Caenorhabditis elegans: one gene and its partners. The protein of the gene in region 1 purifies or fractionates together with the protein of each later gene. This does not show direct contact. Each region holds a gene or a part of one and is shown on either strand. Other genes may lie near its edges.

What was found.
Region 2: the proteins of F53B3.3 (region 1) and cpg-3 fractionate together in Caenorhabditis elegans (co-fractionation; one large-scale study listed by BioGRID). This does not show direct contact.
Region 3: the proteins of F53B3.3 (region 1) and taco-1 fractionate together in Caenorhabditis elegans (co-fractionation; one large-scale study listed by BioGRID). This does not show direct contact.

What each region holds. Positions count from the first base shown.
Region 1 is NC_003284.9:2,864,176-2,874,537, reverse strand, and holds F53B3.3 (CLASP_N domain-containing protein), read left to right. Parts: upstream 1-3,400; 5' UTR 3,401-3,477; coding exon 3,478-3,559; intron 3,560-3,642; coding exon 3,643-3,718; intron 3,719-4,792; exon of another isoform or gene 4,793-4,961; coding exon 4,962-5,187; intron 5,188-5,236; coding exon 5,237-5,338; intron 5,339-5,387; coding exon 5,388-5,540; intron 5,541-5,585; coding exon 5,586-5,702; intron 5,703-5,746; coding exon 5,747-5,944; intron 5,945-6,722; coding exon 6,723-6,885; intron 6,886-6,937; coding exon 6,938-7,049; intron 7,050-7,100; coding exon 7,101-7,545; intron 7,546-7,791; coding exon 7,792-8,021; intron 8,022-8,239; coding exon 8,240-8,307; intron 8,308-8,368; coding exon 8,369-8,466; 3' UTR 8,467-8,624; downstream 8,625-10,362. Other genes in the region: F53B3.5 (Conserved plasma membrane protein), read left to right, coding at 982-1,161; F53B3.6 (RNA-binding protein 6), read right to left, coding at 9,067-9,784, 9,841-10,088.
Region 2 is NC_003279.8:7,241,547-7,246,749, reverse strand, and holds cpg-3 (Chondroitin proteoglycan 3), read right to left. Parts: upstream 1,785-5,203; 5' UTR 1,758-1,784; coding exon 1,718-1,757; intron 1,667-1,717; coding exon 1,287-1,666; intron 1,242-1,286; coding exon 994-1,241; intron 944-993; coding exon 733-943; 3' UTR 648-732; downstream 1-647. Other genes in the region: R06C7.6 (Protein N-terminal glutamine amidohydrolase), read left to right, coding at 1-106, 171-338, 387-609; dhp-1 (Dihydropyrimidinase 1), read left to right, coding at 2,997-3,088, 3,622-3,802, 4,388-4,565, 4,644-4,855.
Region 3 is NC_003281.10:280,704-290,165, reverse strand, and holds taco-1 (Transcriptional regulatory protein), read right to left. Parts: upstream 6,050-9,462; coding exon 5,840-6,049; intron 5,188-5,839; coding exon 5,059-5,187; intron 4,902-5,058; coding exon 4,668-4,901; intron 2,758-4,667; coding exon 2,524-2,757; intron 1,016-2,523; coding exon 965-1,015; 3' UTR 703-964; downstream 1-702. Other genes in the region: Y50D7A.13 (Peptidase metallopeptidase domain-containing protein), read left to right, coding at 627-702; xpd-1 (General transcription and DNA repair factor IIH helicase subunit XPD), read right to left, coding at 7,293-7,532, 8,606-8,711, 9,430-9,462.

The sequences.
Region 1 (10,362 bases):
AATACCAGTCCACAACTTCCATAAAACTCGAATTATATAAATTTAGAAAAAAAAACTAGTGATCCCAAAATATGAAAAATCTATCAAAATCAGTATTGCAGTCACTTTTTCTATCGCGAATGTGTGAAGAAATTTGTATTTTAATTTTGAACTCAAATGATGGAGCAACGATTCGGGCTATTTTGAACCCAAAATGTGCAGTGTCACACACATTTTGACTTTTATAGCGGTTTTTGAGCAAATTTTTGAAACTTGTAATAAACAGTAAAGTTCATTTCAAAAATAAAAATATTTCTTCATAAATTTCTCAAAAAACTTTGACACATCGGTGACACTCAAAATGTGCTGAAAGGAACGAATTTTTGAAATGAAACTTCTCAAAAGTATTTCAACATTTTTTCTATTTCGGTTAAAAATTTTTGCTAAAAACTCCAGTTTTGGCCGCTTTTCCGTGTCGCATTGGTCGGAAGTTGACTTATCATAAAAATTCATTTTTAGTCACCTATTGACTTTAAATGTCTCTCAATCAACGAAATAACGTGTGATAAACTACCAAACTATGCGATAAAGGATGATAATTTAAAACAAAAGGTCAACTTCGGACCTCTGCAACACGGAAAAAATGGCCAAAATTTGAGATTTTAAGAAAATTTTTTTCAAATTTTTAACCCGCCATTTTGAGATGTTTCATTATGCAATTCATTTGAAAACATTTCCAATCAATACATTCTATTTTAAAAACTTTATATCACTTACCAAAAAAAACACTTTTTGTTTTTGTTGTTATTCTATCTATTGATCTATCATCAATTAGAATGGACAAAATAAAATAGTAAACGCTTCCCACCAGGCACTAGATATTGCTTAATTTGTTGAAAATTGGGTCATCTCCCATCGGAATAGGTCTTTGAAGATTGAGAACATTGTTTGACTATTTAGACGATTAACATCAGCTAACCTAATGAATTTATTATTTGATAGAGAGAAGAGGAGGACGCGCTGACAGCTAAACACGGTGCCTACATGATGCCAAACTACTATGACAAGGGGGCTGGAACTATTGTGCCATACAACTACAACACGTACGCTGGATATGGTGGCTACCCATATTACAATCAATACAACACTGCTGGCTATGGATACATGACTTATGGACGTTAAAGAGTGTTCTTCATATTGCAAAGAAGCCCTTTATTCTAAATTTTTATAGTACTCAATCAAGAAACGACGAGGTCCATCACGAATATTCTCACCAAATTCTATGTTTTTTTTGAATGTCAGAAGTTTTATTCTAGCCTTTTCTTGGAAAGTCTAGACTTCCAGTAATCCTCTTCCTCTTCCACTTGCCAACCAAAAATTGTTGCCGTTTTGTGTATGTGTGTATCGCATTTGTCACAGTTTCCCCATAATGTACCTAAACTACTTAATAATGTTTTTTTCTCAACTTTGTCATTCTGAGTTTAGTGTTTTCTTGTTCTGATTTTGTTGGCAATCCCCAATCCGTTTTATGTCCGTCTTCTCATTTTTGTACTGCCACTCCTTGTTTGAAATTATCGAGTTTGGATGGAAGACCCTTGGTGCTCCTTTTCCCACTTGTCTTATTCAAAATGCCATCTGCCCCCTTTTTTTGTTCAGTTCGTTCAGCAAGCACAATGAATTTAAAAGATAATCGATACTCGAATATGCCACACCTCAGTTCCCATTTAATCATTTCACTTTTTCATACTTTTAAATATGTGAAACACTTTTTTTCAGTTCATACCAAAGTATCTAAATAAATCAGTTTGATTGTAAGAAAATGATTCAATAATTTATTATTTATGACAACATGCGAACGTCCAATATATCATTAAAAAAGCAAAAAAAAGATTTTATTCAACGATTTTTATACTTTAATTTTGTTTGTATTACTCTTGTTAAAACATTTTGTGGTCGGAACATGCGGCATTGCTCTGAATTTCCTTCAAAGCAATTTTTTTAAATTTAGCATTTTATCAAAATTTTGACTGAAAACTTCCATAAATGTAAATTTTTTTGGAACATTTTATTATGATATTCGATTTTTATAAGTGTATTTAGACAAAACCCCTACCTGCGCTACTTCAACTTTAATAAATGTACGCTAAAATTATTCGATCAATTTGTTCTCAAATTTCCTGACCCAAGAAGTTTTCAATTTTTGCTTCGTCTCTCACAATTTTATTGGTGGACGGAAACAAATACTTATGGGTTGAAAAATGCGACATATTTTAAAATTTGTTTGAAAGTAATATTTAATTGTTTTGTGAAATTGACAATTTACCAAAACTATGACAAATATTGCTGAAGGTGGTGTAGCACCAGTGGGGAAATTGTTTCAAAATACATATGAAGCCAAAATGAACAAGTATCATGGTAATTTTTTGAATCTAATTTTTATATGATTTTAAATTGGAAAAATGTCTGTTTTTGCCACCTTTTTGGAAGTTGTCGATCAAATAAAAATTGTTTATTTGATTTTTATGCTGTGATTATTTTTGAATTAATATTTAAATATTGCAAGGATTAAAACATGCGACATAACTAAAGTTTTCTCAAAAAGTGGCAAAAACTCGGTCTTTTTTGCCAGTTTTTTATAGTCAATAAATTCTTTTTTCTCTTATGAAATTGTAAAATTACAGACGCTGAATATTTCAAAAATCAAGAGGGTGTTTTCTCCATTTACCTACCAATGATCAAACAATTTTCTTAGCTCACGAATGAAATAGTGCACAAAGTTTTTATTACATTCATTTGCCGAAAAAATTGAATACCATTGGATGTTATGAGTTTCGGAGTTTGAAATTATGCTCAAATTATACTATAGGTTTTACAGAAATCAGAAGGTAGCACAAAAACATTAACAGATGGAAGATGAGTGCAATCAGTGGTAGAAAAATGAATTAAATTAAATTTTGGTACCTATTGGTTTGTACCATTTGTTTTTGAGAATACTAAAACTATTACGTTTTAATTTATTTAAAAAAAATCATCTGCTAAAAACATTGTTAATTGCCGGATCAAAAAACAAAAAATTTTCGCATAAGAATTTTGATTGGTGAGCAGAAACTGAAAGCAACTCATTACCGGTTGTGAGTACCTACCAATCTGTCAGTAAGTTGCTTAACCTCCGCTTCCCATTATGTTTACCCTCTCGTTTGCGTTCACAATGTGTCGCAGTGTTTCTTGGCAAACTCTCGACTTCTTTCCGCTCACCGGTATTGGGGACGGTTGCAGAAGCATCAGCAGGCCCCCCCCGAGTCTTCAAGCCTTCATCGGAGGTACTGTTTGCTTTCAACTGGCACACACACACACACACACATCGCGTCTCGCAGCAGCATTCACTACAAACCTAGCCTGATTCCTAACCACCACTTAGCCTTTTCCCTGCCTCACCCAACTAGACTCGACACATTTGGCTCCCCTCATGTTAATGGCAAAAAGAACCGAGTGAGAATAATGGATCGAAATGTCAACTCGCCACGTGTACTTGCCGACCAACTACGGAGGTTTATTCAGAATCCGGATTCGACTCCTTCAGGTAAACATATATCCATGACAAGACGGGAGTGTATTCAAACTGAACACTTTTAAAAACCACCACCAAATAGGCACTTTTTTCAGGGAGCGGTATATCTTTATCAGATGCTGGATTTGTTTTGTTATCTTTAAAAGACCAAATTTTAGCGGACTCAATAAAGTAAGTAGTTTTGAATTTTTTGTTGGCGTTGATGTTCCAACATTTTCCAAGCGAACTTTCTTCACAAATTTGAAAAAAAGTTTGATTAAAATTTACAAAAATGACAGTGTTTTCTATTAGTATATTGGAGCGCAATGTTCAATTTTGACAGCTTATACCTAAGTTGTCGATTGTATCATTAAAATCAACTAGCAACTTACTAACAACTTATTTACAATGCAACAATGTCAACTAACAAAATATTTGTTAGAATTTTTGGTACATGTGTATTACATAGTTATAAAAAATTTAAGCGTGTACAGTGCATTTGATTTTTCACTTCTACGACTTTAAAGGAAGACGGATTTATGCGGAATGGTCTTGCCGCGCGTTTAGTCATCATTTTTAGCAGTTTCTGGGTAAAATTCGCGTAGATCACATGTATATCACAAAATATTTATCTCATATTTTGTATTTCTGTTGCTTTCAAATTAATTGTGCTTTCACGCGTGATCTACGCAAATTTTGAACAGAAACTGTTAAAAATGATGATTACGCGCGCAGCAAGACCATTCCGCATAAATGCGTGGAAAAACCAATGCACTGTAGCATATTTTTGAACTTTTGAGCTTAGGTAATAACCATTTTTAAGCCCAAAAAAATGAATATCACGTTAAATTTCAATGGAGAAAGGAATGAACATTAAGTAGAATTTTAAAATGAGGGCATGTAAAACACAAGTACCGGTTTTTTTTAAACATAGTTTGTAGTTTATCACTAATAGATATGTTTAAGACAAAGTGTGATATAACATTTTTCAATGCAAAAATTATTTTTAGAAACAGAAACAGTTTTTCAATTGTTTGTTCACATAATTTTAATTAATTTATAAGGTTTCTTTTACATTCATTAGCCGAAAAAATGCATTGTTTCAAAAACTAGCTAGTATTACAATTACTTCTTAAAAGAGAAAGGTTTTCCGTTGCTCTATTAGTATTTTTAAAAAATGCATTCCCTCAAGGAAAATTTATTTAAATTTTTTTGGCCATTTTTTCGTATCGTATTATCCATTTGGCGGTACCTCCCGCGCTCAACTTTGTGCACTCCCGTGGCCATTATTTAACTCCGACTGAGAAGTAAATACAACAGTGACCGGTTCTAAAACCTCCCACCCCCCCCCACGCACTGATAGCTAACTCCTCCGAACCACAATATTTGCTCCTGTCTGACGTATGCTTCCGACATGAATTTCAATTGTTTCCAGGGCTCAACATTTTTCGCATGAGTTTGTATCAAAGCCTATCAACGGGATTGAACTACTCGGAAAAGTGGTGATTGTTCTGCAGGGAATTGTGAACAGTGTTGAAGGATCTGGATCGAAAATTTCCTACCTGCTCAATAGAAATTCGACAAATGCCAATCGAAAAAGAAAGGCAGCTGTTGCTGAGGCCGATTGCATTGAAAGCATCAAACTGTTACTTGAGAAATCAGTGAGTGAAAATTTGTAAGATTCATGCCATTAACTATCACCTTGCATAGGAATCAACATGGAAGTCATTTCTCGAAACATCAACCGGATTGGATGCCATAATGTATTCTATTCATTCGCCTCAGCTGGACTCCAAATGTTACTCACTCGAGGTTGCCGTTTATCGTTGTGTTTGACAAATTAGAATATCGTTCTCTGCAGATTCTTCTTCTGCTACTAGAACAACCGCAAGGATTTGTGATTTTATTGAGGGCGCTGACTGTTTTGGCAGCAAGAAATCGGGACTATTTGAGGTTTTCCATATTTGTAGCACAACTCAAACATGGTCTTCATACAAAGAAACTTCACATTCAGGTCTAAAATAATACGGCGCATTTCGTAGATTTTCGCCATTTTCAGATCCTTGTGGCTAGACTTTTCAACAAGTTGATTGCAAGCGCACCAACTCCAGTGCACAGAGCACTTGTTAAATCGGAAGTGTCATTAGCCCAGTACAATCCAGAAGTTGTCGAAAAAGTAGGTTACCTATTGTTCGTATTCTGAACGCCAAATTGTTCCAGCTCATTGGATACCCGAATTCATCCTACGGCGGAATGGACACTTTGATCGATGAGTTGAACGCGTGGAAATCACTGAACCAATATGTTGGAGGGTCGGGACCCACCGTTGAGCATAACCACATTTATGGAACTTCTGAAGTGGACGGAAGCAGCATATCGGAAAGAAGTCGGAGGCATGCTCCAAGCTCCAAGATCATGGTAAATTTTCTGTTAGGTTTCATAGCATAATAAATTGCGATATGAGTTTTGTATTGTTCAAGATGTACAAAAAGATTTTAAATTTGTCTGCTTGCGTTGACAAAAAGTCATGTTGTATCTATCAAAATAGGTAAAATAATGAAAGGAAATTTTTAGCTTTCGCCGCGGTACGTTTGGTTATACGAAAAAGCCTAATAGAATAATTTAAACTACATACCCTTTTTCTTTTGAATCCCCAAGATAAAACGCTGTTGTACCCCGTTAATCTTGATGAAATTTTCAATTTTCTTAGAACCTCGGGTACTGCTCAAAAATAAATTCAAGCAGCTGATATGTTCAAAATATATGTTTTAAAAGTCCAACTTGTGTTATACAAATTCAGATTTTTTTTTACAAAAGTTCCAGCAAAGAAAAGGCATAATGAAAACTTCTCAAAAAAATTTTGAGATTTTTTATTTACTGTCAAATAGTGATAACTACTCAGTATTCTTTCAGTCATAATTTTGGAAGTCGACCAAAAAAATCTACGGTTTTTGCTCTTCATTTTTATTAAACTGCGTTAAAACAGAAAATTTGGCAGTTAAAAAAACTCTAAAAATTTTTGGATTGTTTTATCATGATATTCGATAGTTCTGGATCACTATAAGTGTATTTCGACAAAATTTCCACTGGCGCTATTCCACCTTTTGACCTATTAATAGTGATGAACCCTGAATGTGAATTCTTATTTTGTGGGCAAAAGTGCCGGAAGAAGGTAACTTATTTTATTTTATTTCAGCCAGTGACATCCGTCGTTAAAAACGTTGAACGTCAAAGATTCCGAAAGCAGGGTGCTGGCTCCGGTGGAAGAGCTGCCGGCAATTATTACTTTGAAGGAGGTGGCGGCCCACGCTTGACTTATGACCGAAGATCACAAACATTATCGCATGGTTCTTATGCTGGTAAGTGATTAAACATTGAAAATTCGAATTGATTTCTAAATTTTAATTTCAGAACCATCTTCTCCAATACCACCATCCAGAATGGGTTACGCCACCGAGAGAAGAGAGCCGTTCGGTGCGATGAGGCGAGCAAAAAGTGAAAGTGCAATGGTTTTCAGAGAAAAGTACGTAAAGTAGTATTGATAACAGCCGAGGTATACAAATTTTGTTTCCAGCAGGGAAGAGTATGAAAATGATTCTCCTGAAATGGCGCCACGCGGCTTGAAACGATTTGGCAATAACAGTCAAAAAGAGCAAGTCCATTATCACCCAATCCAACAAGTGAAAACCTTGTCTCGAAGCGTTCATGACTTGGCCATCCGCGACGATGATCCAGGAACACTACTTCGACCAGTTTCTGCACGACCACCATCATCAGCGTCTCGAACACCGTACAGAGCAGTGTCCCCAGTTCCAGTTTCACCAATTATAAAGCAAGATGCTGACATACCGTCTAGACGACTATCTAGTGCACTTTCTCCAAGAGCACGATTTGCGGATCCTCCGATTGTTGAGGCTCAGCATCCTCACGCAGGATTTTCATATTTGTTCCCACAACAGCCAGTTGTCAGTTCAGTGTACAACAAAAAAATGATGTCGCCGGAACCAAGAGAAGTGACTGTACGTTTTATTATTCAAAATTGCAAATGTTCCCAACTTTTCTTTATAGGTGAACTACTAAAATACGCCATAAAGGGCAAAAAAAGTGTATTCCAGCTACGGTGACAAAGAAAAATTAGCGAAATTTCAGATTTTAGGAAAATTGGGGTGTATGTTTTCGAAATTTTTTTTTGGAAATTTTTTGAGTAGTCTCATTATGAAATTCGGTCGTTTTGGTCCGGTATATTTAAGTTTGAAAATTTTCAGAGCTCCACATCAAATCGTCCTGTATCAGCGCCCCTGTACGCCACAGCAGGAAATCACGAAGGCTCCAGCCGGCCCCTCTCTCCTCTGGAAATTCAGAACTCAATGTCCGGAACTCATGATTTCGATATGCCAGTTGCATACAGTAATGAGAATGGACAAGTGGTGTATGTTCCGATTAATATTGAAAGTGGAGTCGGAGCCGGGCCACGGAGAGTGAGCAAAACGTCAAAGTAAGGAATATAAAAATTATTGTAATTTTGAACCACCAAAAAGTGACCGAAATTTAAGATTTTAGTTAAATTAGGCTTTTTTCGAAATTTTGAAACACCATAAAAATTCTTGAAAAATTTTTGAGATTCCCATTACGAAATTTGTTCTTTTGAGCACACGTGGGGTATAGAATTTTAAGTTCCCAGAACTGCCTTGAATGTGTAATTTTCACATTTAGGTTCGACTATACTCCAAATGAATCTCGCAGCAATAGTCGTGCAAAACTTCGGAGCCCAAGCATTAACGGTAAAATTAATACTTCATAGAGATTTTTTAATCATTATCATATAAACCTACCAAGTTTCAGGAGAAGATGTTCGTAATGCTCTGAGCCAGTTCGATTACTTGTATGACTATGAAGCCGACCAAAACCCAAAAAATCGCGAAGCCACTTATCATTTGTAATGAAACCGATTTGTCATAAATTTAACCACAGTGTATCCCGAAAATAATTTTAAATTTTAAATTTGCTCAAATATAGGCTTAAGACTTGTTCAAATTAAATACCTTTTTTTTGTATATTTAAAATAAAAATCTTGTTAACATATATATGAACCCTTTTTCTTTGTCTTTTTATTTTTCCTAATTTTATTTGCACGGTAAACCTCCAACAAATTGATTTGAAAGACATCAATGGGATAACCCTGAATCGATTGCGTGCAACCCAAAACAAGGCCATTGGAATTAGGAAACGCTCTCTCTCTCTCTCTCTCGCTCGTTTTCTTTCGCGCCGCCAACAATTTGCCTTGTTATCAAACAGTATCATGACCCCAACTTGATTAATTGGGGAAATATCATTTAGGATGCTTTTTATTATTTGACTATTTGTGGGATTTCGGAAAAAAAATAAGAAAAAAAAAGAATTGGCAGCGACAGTGAACTTGAGAATTTGAATGGAGAAATTGAGGAACACGGGTGTAAATAGAGTTGCAAAAATCAAAGAATTGAGCCTAGATACAGATTAAAATGAAGAATATCAAACATTGTCAAGGTTGAGCAAGATTTTCAGATGTTTCTGTAAATTGGCTGTGGTGGTGGTGCTTGTTCGTAGCTCCATGGTGGCCAAACAAATTTGAAGCAACAACATTGCACTCGATGGTGTTGCACCGGTCGAACCGGTCTCATATCCTGATGATATACCTGTGGCTGTTGAGTGATTGCACCACGTGAAGCTCCAAATGACGACTCGTGTCCTCCACCGTGTGACTCGTGATGAGATCGGTGATGGCTGCTTGATCGGTAGCCGCCACCTCCACTACTTACCACGCCTCCAGGTGGTCCACGATATGGCTGCACTGCTCCATACTCTTCTCTTTCGAAATCATCTCCGAATCCTCCTCGACCATATTCCAGGGCTCTGCGATCTCTCGTAGCTTGCTCCTTAAATCGGGAAGAATACGATTTTGGACTGTCACCCATTCTTCCATCAAATGATCTTCTAGGAACAAAGTCACGGTCTCTTCCGAGAGGCTCCCTTACTGGTTCCTGAATATCTCGATTATAAGGAATGTGTACATCTTGGCCTGCTTGTGGACGACGATCATCAAATCCATAAGGCTCGGCATCTCTGTGACGTGTTTGAGGGGACGAACGGAAGTCATACTGCGGATCACGACCAATGTCACGGCGAATAGGGATGACAACTCCACCATCATTAGGATATTCATTTCGATGAAACCCATCATCATGTCCTCGAAACTCTCTGGTGTCCAATGATTTACTTCTGAATATGAGAGAGCAATTACAATTTCAGTGAATCTTCTGAAAAAAAAAAGTTACCTGGATTTCAGATCAAGCCCTCGATTATCAAAATATGGTGCAGGTTGGGAAAAGCGATCTCCGTAGTCTTGGTCAACATTTGTTTGAGATCTGGATCTTAGTGGTGGGTATTCTCTGCCATATGCATGAACACGTGAATCAATGCCACCACGTGGAGTGATTTGTTGTGATCTCGAGTCACGGTAGTTCATGGTTCGATTCGAATAATCCGGGTTAGCCCCCGGCGAGAAACGACGATCGTAATTCATCGCCGGGAGTAGTGTTGACGATGAACCGACGTGTTTTTGTAGACAGCAAGTAGTGATGGATATATTGCGTTTTTCCCACAAAATAAGTCGGTCGTTCGGTTAGTAGAAAAGGCGATGCGGAATACGTGTATGCGTGCCGCCCAGAAACGCAAAGCGTCTACACCGAGAAAAAAAATGGGGTGGGGGAGTTTGGGCTGATTCACAAAAAGGCGACGGCGTCGGTTGGGCGAGTAGGAAACGGCGGAGAAAACGGGCGTGGCGCTTTCCTTGTTTC
Region 2 (5,203 bases), on another chromosome or scaffold:
AGTTGATTGAGAAAATAGATGATAAAAATGGAATATTTGCGATTATTATATCAAACGACTGTAAAATGATACCACTGTGGAAACAAAAGGCTGCTAAAAGTATCAAGTAAGTTATTAATTATAAAATAAAAATCAAAGAATTTTCATGATTTCATAATTTATTTTTACAGTGGTCATGTTCTCTGGGATTATCACGTCATTGCTATTGAAAAGGAAAAAAACGGGTCAAAAGTCTACGATTTGGATTCTACACTCGAATGGAGTTGTGATTTCTTAGAATATTGGGAAAAAACTATGAATCTCGCAGAAATGGCTCAGCGTGACACTAAATTCAGAAGGTTGCTACACTTTAACACTTTTTCTTCAGTTTGAATAATTATTTTCAGAAAATTTCGTGTAATTCCAGGAGAAAACTACATATCCTTGCTCTCATCTGATCGATCTCATATGCTTTCGAAGAATGGAGTATACCTAAAGCCACCTCCTGAATGGCCATTAATAAATTCTCATAAACCATCGAATTTGATGGAACTGATCCGAATGTCAGAACAAATCGAGAACACGACGGTTATGGACGAACCAGAACTGTTCCAATTATTTTCCAAGTGATTTTTTGATTTTTTTCATTTCAAATGTTGAAGTTAATTAGAATCATGAAATTTTTATTCATTCCGTAAACTTGTGTGCAATATATTTGGGCAAAATAAAAAAAAGCCGATAAGATGGGGTCAATTAGCAAACACAGAATCCATAGTTGCATGGCAATCCGTGGCACTTCTCGACATTGTCTTCGGCTCCATTGCACGTCTCCACGTTGCAGAACGAAGTGAGGGCTTCGGCCAGAGTGAGATTGTTCTTGGTGTAGGCAGCAAAACAATCGCAAGTAGCGGTAATGCTGTTGCAAGCACCGTTGAATCCTCCGCAAGCACTGTCCTCTTGGCATCTGAAATAATAATATTTTAAAATCTGCTGCGAAATAAATTGAAAACTTACGGCCATCCAAAGACACAGGAGTTACAGTTGCAAGTTCCGGCAAGAGCTCCAATGCATTTTCCACTTCCACATCCAGAATCTCCATAGCAGACAGCAGATGAGACGCAAGTAGCTGGTGCAGATGTTCCGGTTTCGGTTTCAGTTTCATTGAGTGAAAGACGAGCACTGTCGAGAACCATCTGAGAGTTGGCAAGCACGATGTTCGAGAGGATTCCGAGGTTTTGAGCGTTAGCAGAGAGAGCAGTCATCTGAAAGATTTAAAATATTGAATTAAAAGGGGTCGAGAAACTAACCTCAGTGATGACGAAGTTAGCTTGGTGAATGAGCTTCTGTGATTCAGCTTGAACTTGTTGAGCATACGTGTTGAGTGTCTCCAACTGTTGAAGAGTGAGTTCGTCGACAGGAACGACTGGTGATGTATCACCGGATCCTTCTTCACCAGATCCTTCGCCGGAAGTTTCCTCATCTCCTGAACTCTCGCCGGAAGTTTCACCAGATGATTCGCCAGATGCTTCTCCCGAGGCTTCACCAGATGCTTCTCCCGAGGCTTCACCAGATGCTTCACCAGAACTCTCGCCAGAAATTTCTCCAGATGAATCTCCGCTGAACTCATCTTCACTGGCGGAAACATCACGTTTGGCACGGATCGGATCGGCTGGGTGAGCGAGAGATGCTGCAATTTGTTACAATTAATTTAATTTCAAAATACAAGTGAAAAACAAACCTCCAATGAGCAGCAAAGCAATGATGAACACAAAACGCATCTTTAGTGAAGACTGATTTGTTGGAATGCGATTGTGAAGTAAAAATCGAAATCATTGAAAACAATAACAACCAAAATTCGCTCATTAAGCGGGGTAGATCAAACTGAAAATTAGTAAGAAATTTGTTAGTCATACAGGTCTAGTACGGTATTTTCTACATAGAAATAAAAAATACGTTCCGAAATAATTTTTAAACATAGTATTCGAATTCTAGAATTTCATACTGTGAAGATGAAACGGTGAAAATTAATTTAAATTTAAATATTTATTCAGTTCATGTTGAATCTATTTTTTCTCGTTTTTTCTTTATTTTTGGTCAACTAATTGTGTTAAAAAATACCATGAAGTTATGAAGAATAAAGAAAAAACGGGAAAATAAGCCATAACAATTGCGAAACAACGATCCATGGAAACTACGGTACTTCTTAAAGGCGCAGACTGTCTAGCAGGCTTCATTTGAAATTTGAAGAAACTCGTGGCGAGACCAAAAAGGGGATATTTTCATATATAATTCTACCTTGAATAAAATTTTCTTTTGAAAACGATTATCTTGGATTTGGGAGTGGAAAGGTTTAATTACAACTTCAAAGTTAATACTTCAAATTTCACGAATTTTGAAGTATTGAGTTTGAAGTGCAACGGATGCTTTCAATAAACAATCGAGACAGTAAAAGATTCTTTGTAGGAAAGAAAAATTGAAATACAGAGCTATTTAGTTTTCTTTGTCAGGAAAGGGACCTTTGTCAGAGCATCCTCATTTCCATTCTCGTTCAGACATTGAAGCTTAAGCTTTAAATAGAAAAGAGCGGCACGGATGGCATATGTGTAGAACATGCTCATTGTGAAGACTCCAGCACGTTGATCACACATCTTTCTCAACAAGTCATCACAATCGGCGAATATTTCAGTTGTTGTTTGTCAATTAGTCTAATTTACCAAATAATTTCTAAAACTTTGAACAAAAACTGGACAGACTAACCGTACCATCTTCAATCATGCCATATGGTTTCTTCTCACTTCCGATTAAAGAAACGTGATTTTAACATCGTCTATATCAATCTGGGTACGTTATCATCACACGCCCCGGGTACGTCTTCTTCTTTTATCTTTCTTATCACAACTATTATTATCAATCAGTCTCCTCCTTCCACCCAAAATCAAGATTTCTTTTTTCATTTTCAAAGTTTTTTGTGTTTCGTCAAGAAAATTCATTTTTTGTCTAATTTAAGAGATTCGGAAATGTCCCCACCACTTGTTATCAAGAATGGAACTGTCGTCAATGAAGATGGAATGTTTAAAGCTGATGTTCTTGTTAGAAATGGAATTATTGTGTAAGTTCAAACAAGAAGAATGCGTGTAAAAACTGTAGTTAAGTTAAGTAGTTAAATTAATTAGGTGATAGTGATAAAATAAATATACTGTAATTCAGTTTATCTAGGTATCTCTTTCTTGAAGATGGATTTGCGCCTCTGAGGAAAATGATTATTCCTATAACGCTCAAATAGGAAAACTTTTCAACATTTTTTAGAAACTATTCTTGAATTTTTAATCTAAAAAAGTATCAATTTCTTTCTAATATCTAAGTTTTCATCTATCATAATTTTGGTATTCAACTGAAAAGTGTTCTACGATTTTTAATTTCAATTATGATTTAATTATTTGTTTCAGAACACTGTAGACGTTTGCTCTTTGCTACAAATTTCTTGTGAAAACCCCAATTTCTTTTTGAATATTTGGCAATATACTAAACATTTGAGACATAAGTTAGTTAGTAGAGGTCTTAATTTAAAAAAAAACCCCCCAATCGAAATCCGCCAATAAGTTGATTCTACCAAATAATTTTTGAAAAAAAAAACGATTTCAGAGAAGTATCTCCAAATATAACTGCTCTACCAGATACAGAAGTAATTGATGCAACAGATCGTCTTGTGATTCCTGGAGGTATTGATCCTCATACACATATGCAAATGCCATATATGGGAGAAGTGACAAAAGATGATTTTTTGAAAGGAACAGAAGCAGCAGTTGCTGGAGGAACTACAATGGTGAGATGACTTACTGATTAAATTATAAGCTCATCGCATAGATGTGACTGCCTACCTGCCTACAAAATTGAGGGTCTATTCAGGAAATGCGGCAAACCGTTGTGCCCATTAAACAAAAATGTTTATTCTAGGATCCAAGATTTTATTAGTATCCGTTTAAATTGAACAACCGTTTTTTTTTGAAGACTTCGAAAAAGACGGATGCCCACTTTCATCTAGTTTTCAGATTTTCTTCAAACCCGCGAACAAGAATAAATAATAAAATGCTTTCAAAATTTATTTCTAATTATTGTATTGTATAGACATCAAAAGATATAGAACACTTCGAAGTACAGAAACTTGAAGGTTTTTTTTTGACAATTTTATTTATTTTTAAAGTCAGCAAAAATCCTTCTTTTTATAATTTCGCGTTTCTGTTTTTGAAATTAAAGTAATCGAATTATAACATAGATCATTATTATATTAAATATCCTTGTTAACCAAGTGATAAATCACACTCACATTTTGCCAAGGTCATATTTCTCCCATCAACTGGCGGGTTTAGAAAATCTGAAGATCAAATGAATAGAAAAGGTTAAATTTCAGATAATTGATTTCTGTTGTCCGGATCATAGAAATGGGGAGTCATTGATTGCTGGTTACAATAGATGGAGAAGTTGGGCAGATCCAAAAGTGTGTTGTGATTATGGTTTATCAGTTGCTATCACAATGTGGAGACCAGAAACTGCTGAACAAATGGCAATTATTACAAGTCCAGAATTTGGTAAGTTTGAATATAATTAGATTCTGAAAATATAAATTTTCAAAAAAACAAAAATCTTCAAATTTAATTTATTTAAAGGAGTTAATTCGTTCAAATTCTACATGGCTTATGAGAACACACTAATGGTCAGAGATGATGAATTATTCAGAGGAATGCAAGAATGTGCAAAACTTAGAGCATTGGCAAGAGTTCATTGTGAAAATGGTTCAGTGATTAAAGAAAAGGAAATTGATTTATTGGCAAAAGGAGTTACTGGGCCTGAAGGACATACACAGAGTAGACCAGAAGAGGTAACTCATATTTAATTAAAGCAAGTGGTATAACTGAATACACCTATAACATTCCAAAAATATCTGAATATCATAATTAAACACTTCAAAATTCTTTTTAGAATTTGAAATTGTTCAGACAAATTTTGGTAAATTGACAAAGTTGCTTTTCAAGAGATTTGAAGCAATTTAATATGTTTCAACCGTACTATTATTTTTATAAGAAATTTTAGATTACCAATTTGTCGAATTAAAAAACATTTTTGAGTGCATACACCTCCGGTTCACATTTGAATTTAATCGTTATACAGAGCATATAAGAAATACAATTAAAAAATAATGGCATTTGTTAGATGAGATCAGTCAAAG
Region 3 (9,462 bases), on another chromosome or scaffold:
AAAACTTCTGGCAAATCAGCATTTTGCAGGGAATTAAATTATCCGGCAAATCGGTAATTACCGGAATCGAAAATTGCTGGCAAATCTGCAAATTGCCGGAATCGAAAATTTCCGACAAATCGGCAAATTTGGCGAAAATGAAAATTTCCGGCAAATATGCAAATTGCCAAAAATGAAAATTTCTGGCAAATCGGCAAATTGCCGGAATCAAAAATTTCTGGCAAATCGGCAAGTTGCCGGAATCGAAAATCGTCAATTCTTGCCGATTTTCCGTAAAATAAAATTGCCGTCCACCGCTGAAAAGAGTTACAGTACCATTTTTTGGGAAAAATTTGGTATTATTGCAAAACCTGGCAATTATCGATTTTCGGCCGGATATTTTTGAATTCAAATTTTATTTAAAAAAAATTATTTTCAGCCCAAAAAAGCTGACCTTTTGGGATTTTTCCAAAAATTTCGTATTTTCGATGGAATTTTTCAGAGTTTTCAGCTCAAAAATGCCAGAATTTGAAATTTGCTGTCAGATTTTCTAGAAAGTTTTTCTTTTTTCAAAAAGTTTGGTGCAAAAAATCAAATTTTTCTAAAGAATTACCCCAAAAATCCCAAAAAAAAGTATAAAATTACAGAAAACCAGCAAAAATCGGAAAAATTCAATTGTCAAAATACGATATTCGAGCAATTCGGAAGCTGTATGGACAATAAAATATGGACATTTCAGTTTTTTTTTTTTAATTATAGCTTTATACTAACAAAAAAAACAGGTGGAATTCAATTTTAAAAAATCAATAAAAACTCAATAAAACAACAAGAAATGCGGGAATCCTATCTATTGAACTGATAAATAAAATAAAATAAAAGATTTAAAAAATGGAATTCTGATGGGAAAACGACTAAAAATAGAGAAAAAACAATGGAAATTTTCCGCTTTTCCGGCTTTTTTCAATGAAAAATTGAAAAAAATCGGCTACTCGTCTGGTGTGATGTTGTCGAAAATTTGGCGTACTTGTTCGTCCTCCTGAAATAAAAAATACAAATTTTCTCAAATATTTTCGAAATATTCTGGATTTCTTGAAAATTTCTGATATACTGTTGAAGTTTTTTGAAATTTTATGGAATTTTTTGTAATTTCTTGGAATTTATTGAAAATTTCTCATTTTTGAATTTTTTGATATTTTTGAAATTTTCTGGAATTTTTAAACATTTTCTGGAATGAAAAAAATTCGAATTTTCTTGAAATTTTTTAGATTTTTTACGGAAATTTTCTGGAATTTTTTAGAAATTTTTTCTGAACTTCTTGAAAAAAAAAATTTCTAGAATTTTTTGAAATTTCATGGAATTTTTTGATATTTTTGAAATTTTCTGGAATTTTTAAACATTTTCTGGAATGAAAAAAATTCGAATTTTCTTGAAATTTTTTAGATTTTTTACGGAAATTTTCTGGAATTTTTTAGAAATTTTTTCTGAACTTCTTGAAAAAAAAAATTTCTAGAATTTTTTGAAATTTCATGGAATTTTTTGATATTTTTTGGAATTTTTGCGAAAATTAGCGGATTTTTCAGAAAATTTCTGGAATTTCTTGAGATTTCCTATATTTTTTGGAAAAATTTCTGATTCTTTTTAGAAATTTTTTCTGGAATTGAAAAAACATTGTCGAACATATTTTTGAATGTTTGAACTTTTCAGAATTTCAGACATTTTTTAGGAATGTTCTGAAATTTCAGAACATTCAGAAAAAAATTGAAAATGTATTGAAAAAATGTCAAAAATTGGAAAATTTCAAAAAATTACCATAGAATTCCAAAAATCTTTCGAAAAATTTTGGAATTTCCAGAATTTTTCTAAATTTTCTGTATTTTTATTAATTTTTCTGGAATTTTTGAAAAAGTTTTGAAATTGTCTGGAACTTTTTTTTTTATTTTCAAACATTTTTTTTAGGAATTTCCTGGAATTTGTTACAATTTTCTCAAATTTCTTGAAAATATATGGAATTTTTAAAGAATTTTTTTGGAAAATTCCTGAATTTTCTGATTAAAAAAAACATTTTCTGATGCATTTTAGAAATATCTGAAATTTTTTGAAATCTTTTTGGAATTTTTTGGAAAATTTCGAATTTGTTGAGATATTTTTTGAATTTTCTCATTTTTGACATTCTTTTCAACACATTTTCGAATTTTTTAGAAATTTTCTGCAATTTTTTGTAATTTTTTGGAATTTTTGAAATATTTTAGAATTTCTTGGATTTTTTAAAGAAATTTGTGGAATTTCTTGAAATTTCAAATTTTTTTAAAATTTCTGAATTCTTTGAAAATTTCCGGAATATTTTTTTGAATTTTCTGGAATAAAAAAATTGTCTAATATATTTTTTTAAGTTTTTAAATTTTCTGAATTTTTTAAAAAATTACGGAATTTTCTACAACTTTCTCTGCAATTTTTCTCGGTTTTTTCAATTTTTTTTTTGATTTTTTGTCCAAAAATCTTAGTTTTTTCTCGAGTTTTTCCCGGAATTTTTAGTTTTTCCAGTACCTGAAGCATTTCATACAACTTCTGAACCTTTGGCTCCTCAGCTTCAGGACAATCAATTGGATGAACAGGTCGGAATTCAATTTCCGACTGTAAAATCGAGAATCCACCCTTTCCGAGGCCGTTTTCAAGAGTTTGAAGTGATTTTGCATCACAAATTAGTTCGAATTTCTTCGTTGAGTCCTCTTCAATCAGTAAAACCTCTTCAGCATCGAATTCCAGACCGATTTCTTCCATCTGAAACACAAAAATCGATGAAAAATCCAAAATTTCACTAATTTTCGAGTTAAAAACCGATTTTCCTGGTGAAAATCACGCCGGGAGCTGTTTTAAAATAAATTTTACGTTCGAAAAATCAATTTTCAGTCGAAAAATCGTGTTTCTCGTTATTTTTCACCCCAGCTAGCCGATTTCTAGAGATTTTCTGTCATTTGTCGTAAAATATGATGCCTAATCGGTGTTTGCACGTCTAGAGCTACAGTAACCCAATAAACCTCAAAATTCAGCTAGAAACCCAAATTCTTCACTATTAAGTACGTTTCTACCTAGTTGGATAAAACATTTCAATTTTCTTAGATTTTCTGCAATTTGTCGTAAGATTCGGTGCCTGGTCAGTGTTTGCGTACTTCTAGAGCTACAGTAACCCAAAAAACCTCAAAATCACCGTTCGAAAAATCAATTTTCAGTCACAAATTTTGAGTTTTCAGTCTAAAACTGAGATTTTTCCGTTTTTTTAGTTCTTTTAAGCCGAAAACCTCCGATTTTTAGAAATTTTCTGCATTTTTCCGTGAGATTTGGTGTATTGTATTGGGGTACGGTAGTCGGTTTTGCGTACTTTTGACGGTACAGTAACCCGTTTCTGAACGAAAATTCTCAATTTCTACGTGAAAAACTGAATTTTTTTCATTCTTTGCCAATTTTTATTGAGAAAATCGCGCATTTTCAGCGAATTTGACCCAAAAATTAAGTTTTTAAAGATTTTTTCGAGAAAAATCTAGTTTCAGCTGAAAAACTGCGCATTCTTATAGAAAAAATCGTGTTTCTTGTCATTTTTCACTCTGGAAACCTCGTTTTGCGAGATTTTCTGTCATTTGTCGTAAAATATGATGCCTAGTCGGTGTTTGCGTGCTTCTAGAGCTACAGTAACCCGGATAATTTCGAAATTTAGCTAGAACTCAGATAGAAATTATCTTAGGCAGAACGTAGTCGATTAAAGTTAAAATTCAAATAAATTCTGCAATTTGTCGTAAGATTCGGTGCCTTATCGGTGTTTGCGTACTTCTGGAGCTACAGTAACCCAATAAACCTCAAAATTCAGCAAAAACCTCAGACAAAAACGGTTTCAGGTTGAATTAAGCCGCGTAAGTCAAAATTACAAAAAAATTCGCAATTTGTCGTAAGATTAGGCGCCTAGTCGGTGTTTGCGTATTTCTGGCGCTACAGTAACCCGAAAAATCTCAAAATTGAGCTAGAACTCCGATAAAAAGGAATCCAGGCAGAAATTTGCCGATTAAAATTGAAATTCATATAAATTCTGCAATTTGTCGTATCCAAGCCGGTGTTTGCGTATTTCTGACGCTACAGTAACCCGGGTATTTCAAATTGAGCTGAAATATCAGATAAAAATGCTACCAGGAAGGAGAAAAAAGAGCATTATTCAAAATTTGAGCAAACTCCGCAATTTGTCGTAAGAATCAGTGCCCAATCGGTGTTTGCGTACTTCTAGAGCTACAGTAACCCAAGAAACCTCAAAATTAAGCTAAAACCTTAGATAAAAATGCTTTCAGGTAAGAATTAGCCGATTAAAATTAAAATTCAGATAAATTCTGCAATTTCTCGTAAGATTCTGTGCCTAATCGGTGTTTGCGTACTTTCGGGGCTACCGTAACCCGGACTTTTTTAAAATTGAGCTAGAAACCCAAATTCTTCACTATTAAGTACGTTTCTACCTAGTTGGATAAAACATTTCAATTTTCTTAGATTTTCTGCAATTTGTCGTAAGATTCGGTGCCTGGTTAGTGTTTACGTACTTCTAGAGCTACAGTAACGCAAAAAACCTCAAAATTGACCTAGAAACTCCAAAAAAAACGCCGTTAAGCTCCAAATTTTCAGGAAAAAACAGAATTTCAGCATAAAATCGCCCGTACTTCTTCAATATTCAGAATTTTTCCGCCTTTTTTCGTGTCAACATGCACAACACCCTTCTCCTCGAACCAACTACGAACACCACCATCAGCTGCCAACCGGAAACCGCCCAACTTGTTGAAATACTTCCGTAAATCGTTTTCAAACGCTTTTTTGTTCGAAGTTTCGGCGGTTACGATAAGGAATATTCCAGATGGTCCAATGATATCGAACGAGTATTCTACTTCGGGCTTGTCCTGCAAAAATTCGGGGGATTTTTGGAGTTTTTGTGGAAAAATAGACAAAATTTTGCGGTTTTTAGGTTAAAAATCAAGTTTTTTCACTCTTTTTTGCGAAAAAAATTGCATTTTCTGCGATTTTTCATCATTTTTCCTCATTTTTTCACTATTATACCTTCATTTTTTGCAAAAAGTTCTTCAACGTGTCCAGTGGAAGTCCTTGTGCTCTGAATTCGGACTCCAAATCAGCGAGTTCTCGATTGAGCTTCATGTCGAACCCGCCACGAGATACTGCTCCACGGACCTGGAAAAAAAAATCGCTTTTTCTAGGAATTTCTGAGCAAAATTTCAATTTTTCGTATTTAAACTCCATTTTTTCGTACTTTTTACGCCGAAAACCTAATTTTTTGAAATTTTCGGCTTTTTTTCGTAAGGTGTGGTGTATTGGGTACGGTAGTCTGTGTTTGCGTACTCTTGAGGCTACAGTAACCCAAATTTATGGATTTTCTGCAATTTGTCGTAACGTGTGGTGTACAGGGTTACGGTAGTCCGTGTTTGCGTACTTTTGTTGCTACAGTAACCCAAAATCTTGTATTTTTGAGAAATCTGATGGGAATTGTCAATTTTTCTGCAAAAAAATCGTAAAATCTTGGTGTTTGCGTACTTTTGTGGCTACAGTAACCTAAATTTTTCGGATTTTCTGTTTTTTTCCGTAAGATCTGGTGTACTGGGTTACGGTAGTCCGTGTTTGCGTACATTCGGGTCTACAGTAACCCAATTATTTGGATTTTCTGCATTTTTCCGTGAGATCTGGTGTATTGGGGTACGGCAGTCAGTGTTCGTGTACTTTTGGTGCTACCGTACTAAAAATCGCTGGATATTCATGGTTTTTAATCGAAAATTCGCTTTTCTCGGTGTTTGCGTACTTTTGGTCCTACAGTAACCCGAAAACCTACCTTTCTGAGTAAAAAGTTGGTTGCCTTCGACCGAATCAAATCATTTTTTCCCTTCACCGCCTTAATATTCTGCCATTTCGAGTGCCCCTTCTGCTGAAAAACCGTCAAATGCACAGCTCTCGCCGGCTGAAATTGTTGGAGCTTCTGCAATTTCTGAAGCTTCTGGAGCTGGAGACCCGTTGTGGTGAGCCGACGGAGCGGGGAGAACATCTGCAAAAAATTGGGGGAATTTTGAAATTTCAAGGGAAAAATCCCGGAAAAATCGATATTTTCAGGTAAAAACTACCATTTTAAACCGAAAATTGGCTGAAAATCGGAAAAAAAATTGAAAAACCGGTGATTTTTTTCAAAAGGAGAACGAAAATTATGAGATACAATTGAGAACATTTTCAAAAAAAAATTAATAAATTAATGGAGGAAAACTGGTAAAATATGGTAAAATACGAGGGAAAATTAATAAAAAATCGGGGAAAAATTGAGATTTTCCATGGAAAAAATGAGAAAAAAAAAGAGCATTTTCCAGTGAAAAATCTAGAAAATTAGCAATTTTAAATTTTAAATTAATTTTAAATTAAGAAATTCAATTTTACGGTCAAAATTCAGAAATTTCGCTGAAAATTCCACATTTCAGTGTTTGCGTACTTTTGGGGCTACAGTAACCCAAAAATATTCGAATTTTTGAGAAAATTCACTGAAAAACGGACATTGTAGTGTTTGCGTAATTTTGTGGCTACAGTAACCCAAATAATTCGAAAATTTTGAGAAATTTCACTGAAAATTGCGCATTTCAGTGTTTGCGTACTTTTGGGGCTACAGTAACCCTAAAATATTCGAATTTTTGAGAAATTTCACTGAAAAACGCCCATAACAGTGTTTGCGTACTCTTGGAGCTACAGTAACCCGAAAATATTCGGATTTTTGAGAAATTTCACTGAAAAACGCCCATAACAGTGTTTGCGTACTCTTGGAGCTACAGTAACCCAAAAAACTTAAATTTTTGCGAAAATTTACTGAAGAACGGGAATTTTAGTGTTTACGTACTATTGGGGCTACAGTAACCCAAAAATTTGATTTTTTTTTGAGAAATTTCACTGAAAAACGCCCATAACAGTGTTTGCATACTCTTGGAGCTACAGTAACCCGAAAATATTCGGATTTTTGAGAAATTTCACTGAAAAACGCCCATAACAGTGTTTGCGTACTCTTGGAGCTACAGTAACCCAAAAAACTTAAATTTTTGCGAAAATTTACTGAAGAACGGGAATTTTAGTGTTTACGTACTATTGGGGCTACAGTAACCCAAAAATTTGATTTTTTTTGAGAAATTTCACTGAAAATTGGCTTAAATATCAATTTTTAGCGATTTTTTTTGTTTTTCACTCATTTTTCACGGTTTTTTCTCAAATTTTTACAAATTTTCCATGAAAAATAGCTCAAAAATCAAAAAAAAAATCTAATCAACATATTCAACAACACGTTCAAATCTCTTCATAATCTGCGAATCGTGAACCATTTCCTTATCCAACAACGAAACACCCAGCTGATGCTCCTTTTCGAATGGCTGAGCCATTAGTGTGAGCCAACGCCTGGCAACTTGTGCCGCTTCGTCAATGCTCAGATTGGTACAAGCTGGCTCCAGGTATTCCTGCATCCAGCGGGGCAATTTTCCACGTTTGTCGTTTCGGGAGAATCTCTGAAGAAAATTACAAGTTTTGAGGGGAAACATGGAAAATTTGGGCAGAGGTTCCCCGGGAAAGTGGTCAAATGTGCTCTCTGTGAGCAATTTCGGGTGAAAATTCCAAATTTTTGCATATTTTTATGCTAAAATTTGAAATTTCCACACAAAAATCACCGACATAACACATTTGCCACGGAAAATATTTTTCAAATTCTCTAGAAAAATGGGCGGAGCATCACAAGCCACGCCCATTATATGGTCACTTTTCAAAGCTTCAAAATTTTGAATTTTGAAAATAATTTCGCATTTTTAAGCGAAAATTTTCAATTTTGGGGACGAAAAACTATATTTTTTGCGATTTTTGGCAGATTTCTAATAAAAATTTCAGAAAATTGGGCAGCTGGTGAAATTCTTCGTATTTCTTCAATTTTCCGCTATTTTTTTCAGCCAATTTCAGATTTTTTCAGAGTATCTCTACAATTCAAATCATTTTCCGAATTTTCCGTCCAAAAAAAAAATGAAAATTTGGGCAGAGGTTCCCCGGGAAAGTGGTCAAATGTGCTCCCGGTGAGCAATTTCGGGTGAAAATTCCAAATTTTTGCATATTTTAATGCTAAAATTTGATATTTCCGCACAAAAATCGCCGACATAGCACATTTGCCACATGGTACATCAGAATTTCAGCGCATTTCAAGCTGAAAAAAATCAGTTTGAAACTATGAACATTAGTGAACTTTCGATATGTTTTTAACAAAAATCGTGGAATTTTTCTACCAAAATCCAAAAATTTTTTTGAATATTTTTTGCAGCTAAAATGGAAAAAAAACTTGCTTAGCTTTTCAGGTTTTTTAGTGAATTTTGTGCAAATTATTTCAAAGTGTTCTGATTTTCCAGTGAAAAAAATCAATATTTAGCTTTTTTTTCAAATTCTCATGCCACGCCCACAAAATGGACACATTTTTTGTTGAAAAATTGCCAAAAAATTTTCAAACAACTTTTTCTGGTTAAATTTCGTGATTTTTTAATCGAGAATTTTCTGATTTTTCTGATTTTTTTTCGGGAAATCGATAAATCTCTTTATTTTATACCTTATCAGCAAATACCATCAATCCGTAATCAGTTTTCGAACGGAGAGCTCGTCCCATACATTGAGCAGTGTGTCGCATTGCGTCAAATGTCAGAAAATCATTTTCTCTGGAAAAATCATCAAGTTTTGGTAGTTTTTAGGCAATTTTTTCACTAAAAACTCCAAAAAATGTTAAAATTTCATTTGTTTTGAAGCTTTTTTTTTGCAAATTTTGTCGTGAAATCTGGTGCGCGCTGGGATACGGTAGTCGGTGTTTGCGTACTTTTGGAGCTACAGTAACCCATAAACTTCCAAATTGACTGAAAATGCACAAAATTCGAGTTTCTCGTGATTTTTAATTCCGGAAACTCGATTTATAGGGATTTTCTGCATATTGTCGTAAAATTTGGTGTGCTAGACGGTGTTTGCGTACTTTTGGAGCTACAGTAACCCATAAACTTCCAAATTGACTGAAAATGCACATAATTCGAGTTTCTCGTGATTTTTAATTCCGGAAACTCGATTTATAGGGATTTTCTGCATATTGTCGTAAAATTTGGTGTGCTAGACGGTGTTTGCGTACTTTTGGAGCTACAGTAACCCATAAACTTCCAAATTGACTGAAAATGCACAAAATTCGAGTTTCTCGTGATTTTTAATTCCGGAAACTCGATTTATAGGGATTTTCTGCATATTGTCGTAAAATTTGGTGCGCTAGACGGTGTTTGCGTACTTTTGGTGCTACAGTAACCCGGAAAGTTCTTGGAAATTGAATTTTAGGTGAAAATTCGCGATTTTATTGAATTTTTGGCTGAAATTCTCATTTGAACTGTAGAAAATTCCTACTTAATTCCAAATTGATCTCTCAAATACTCCAAC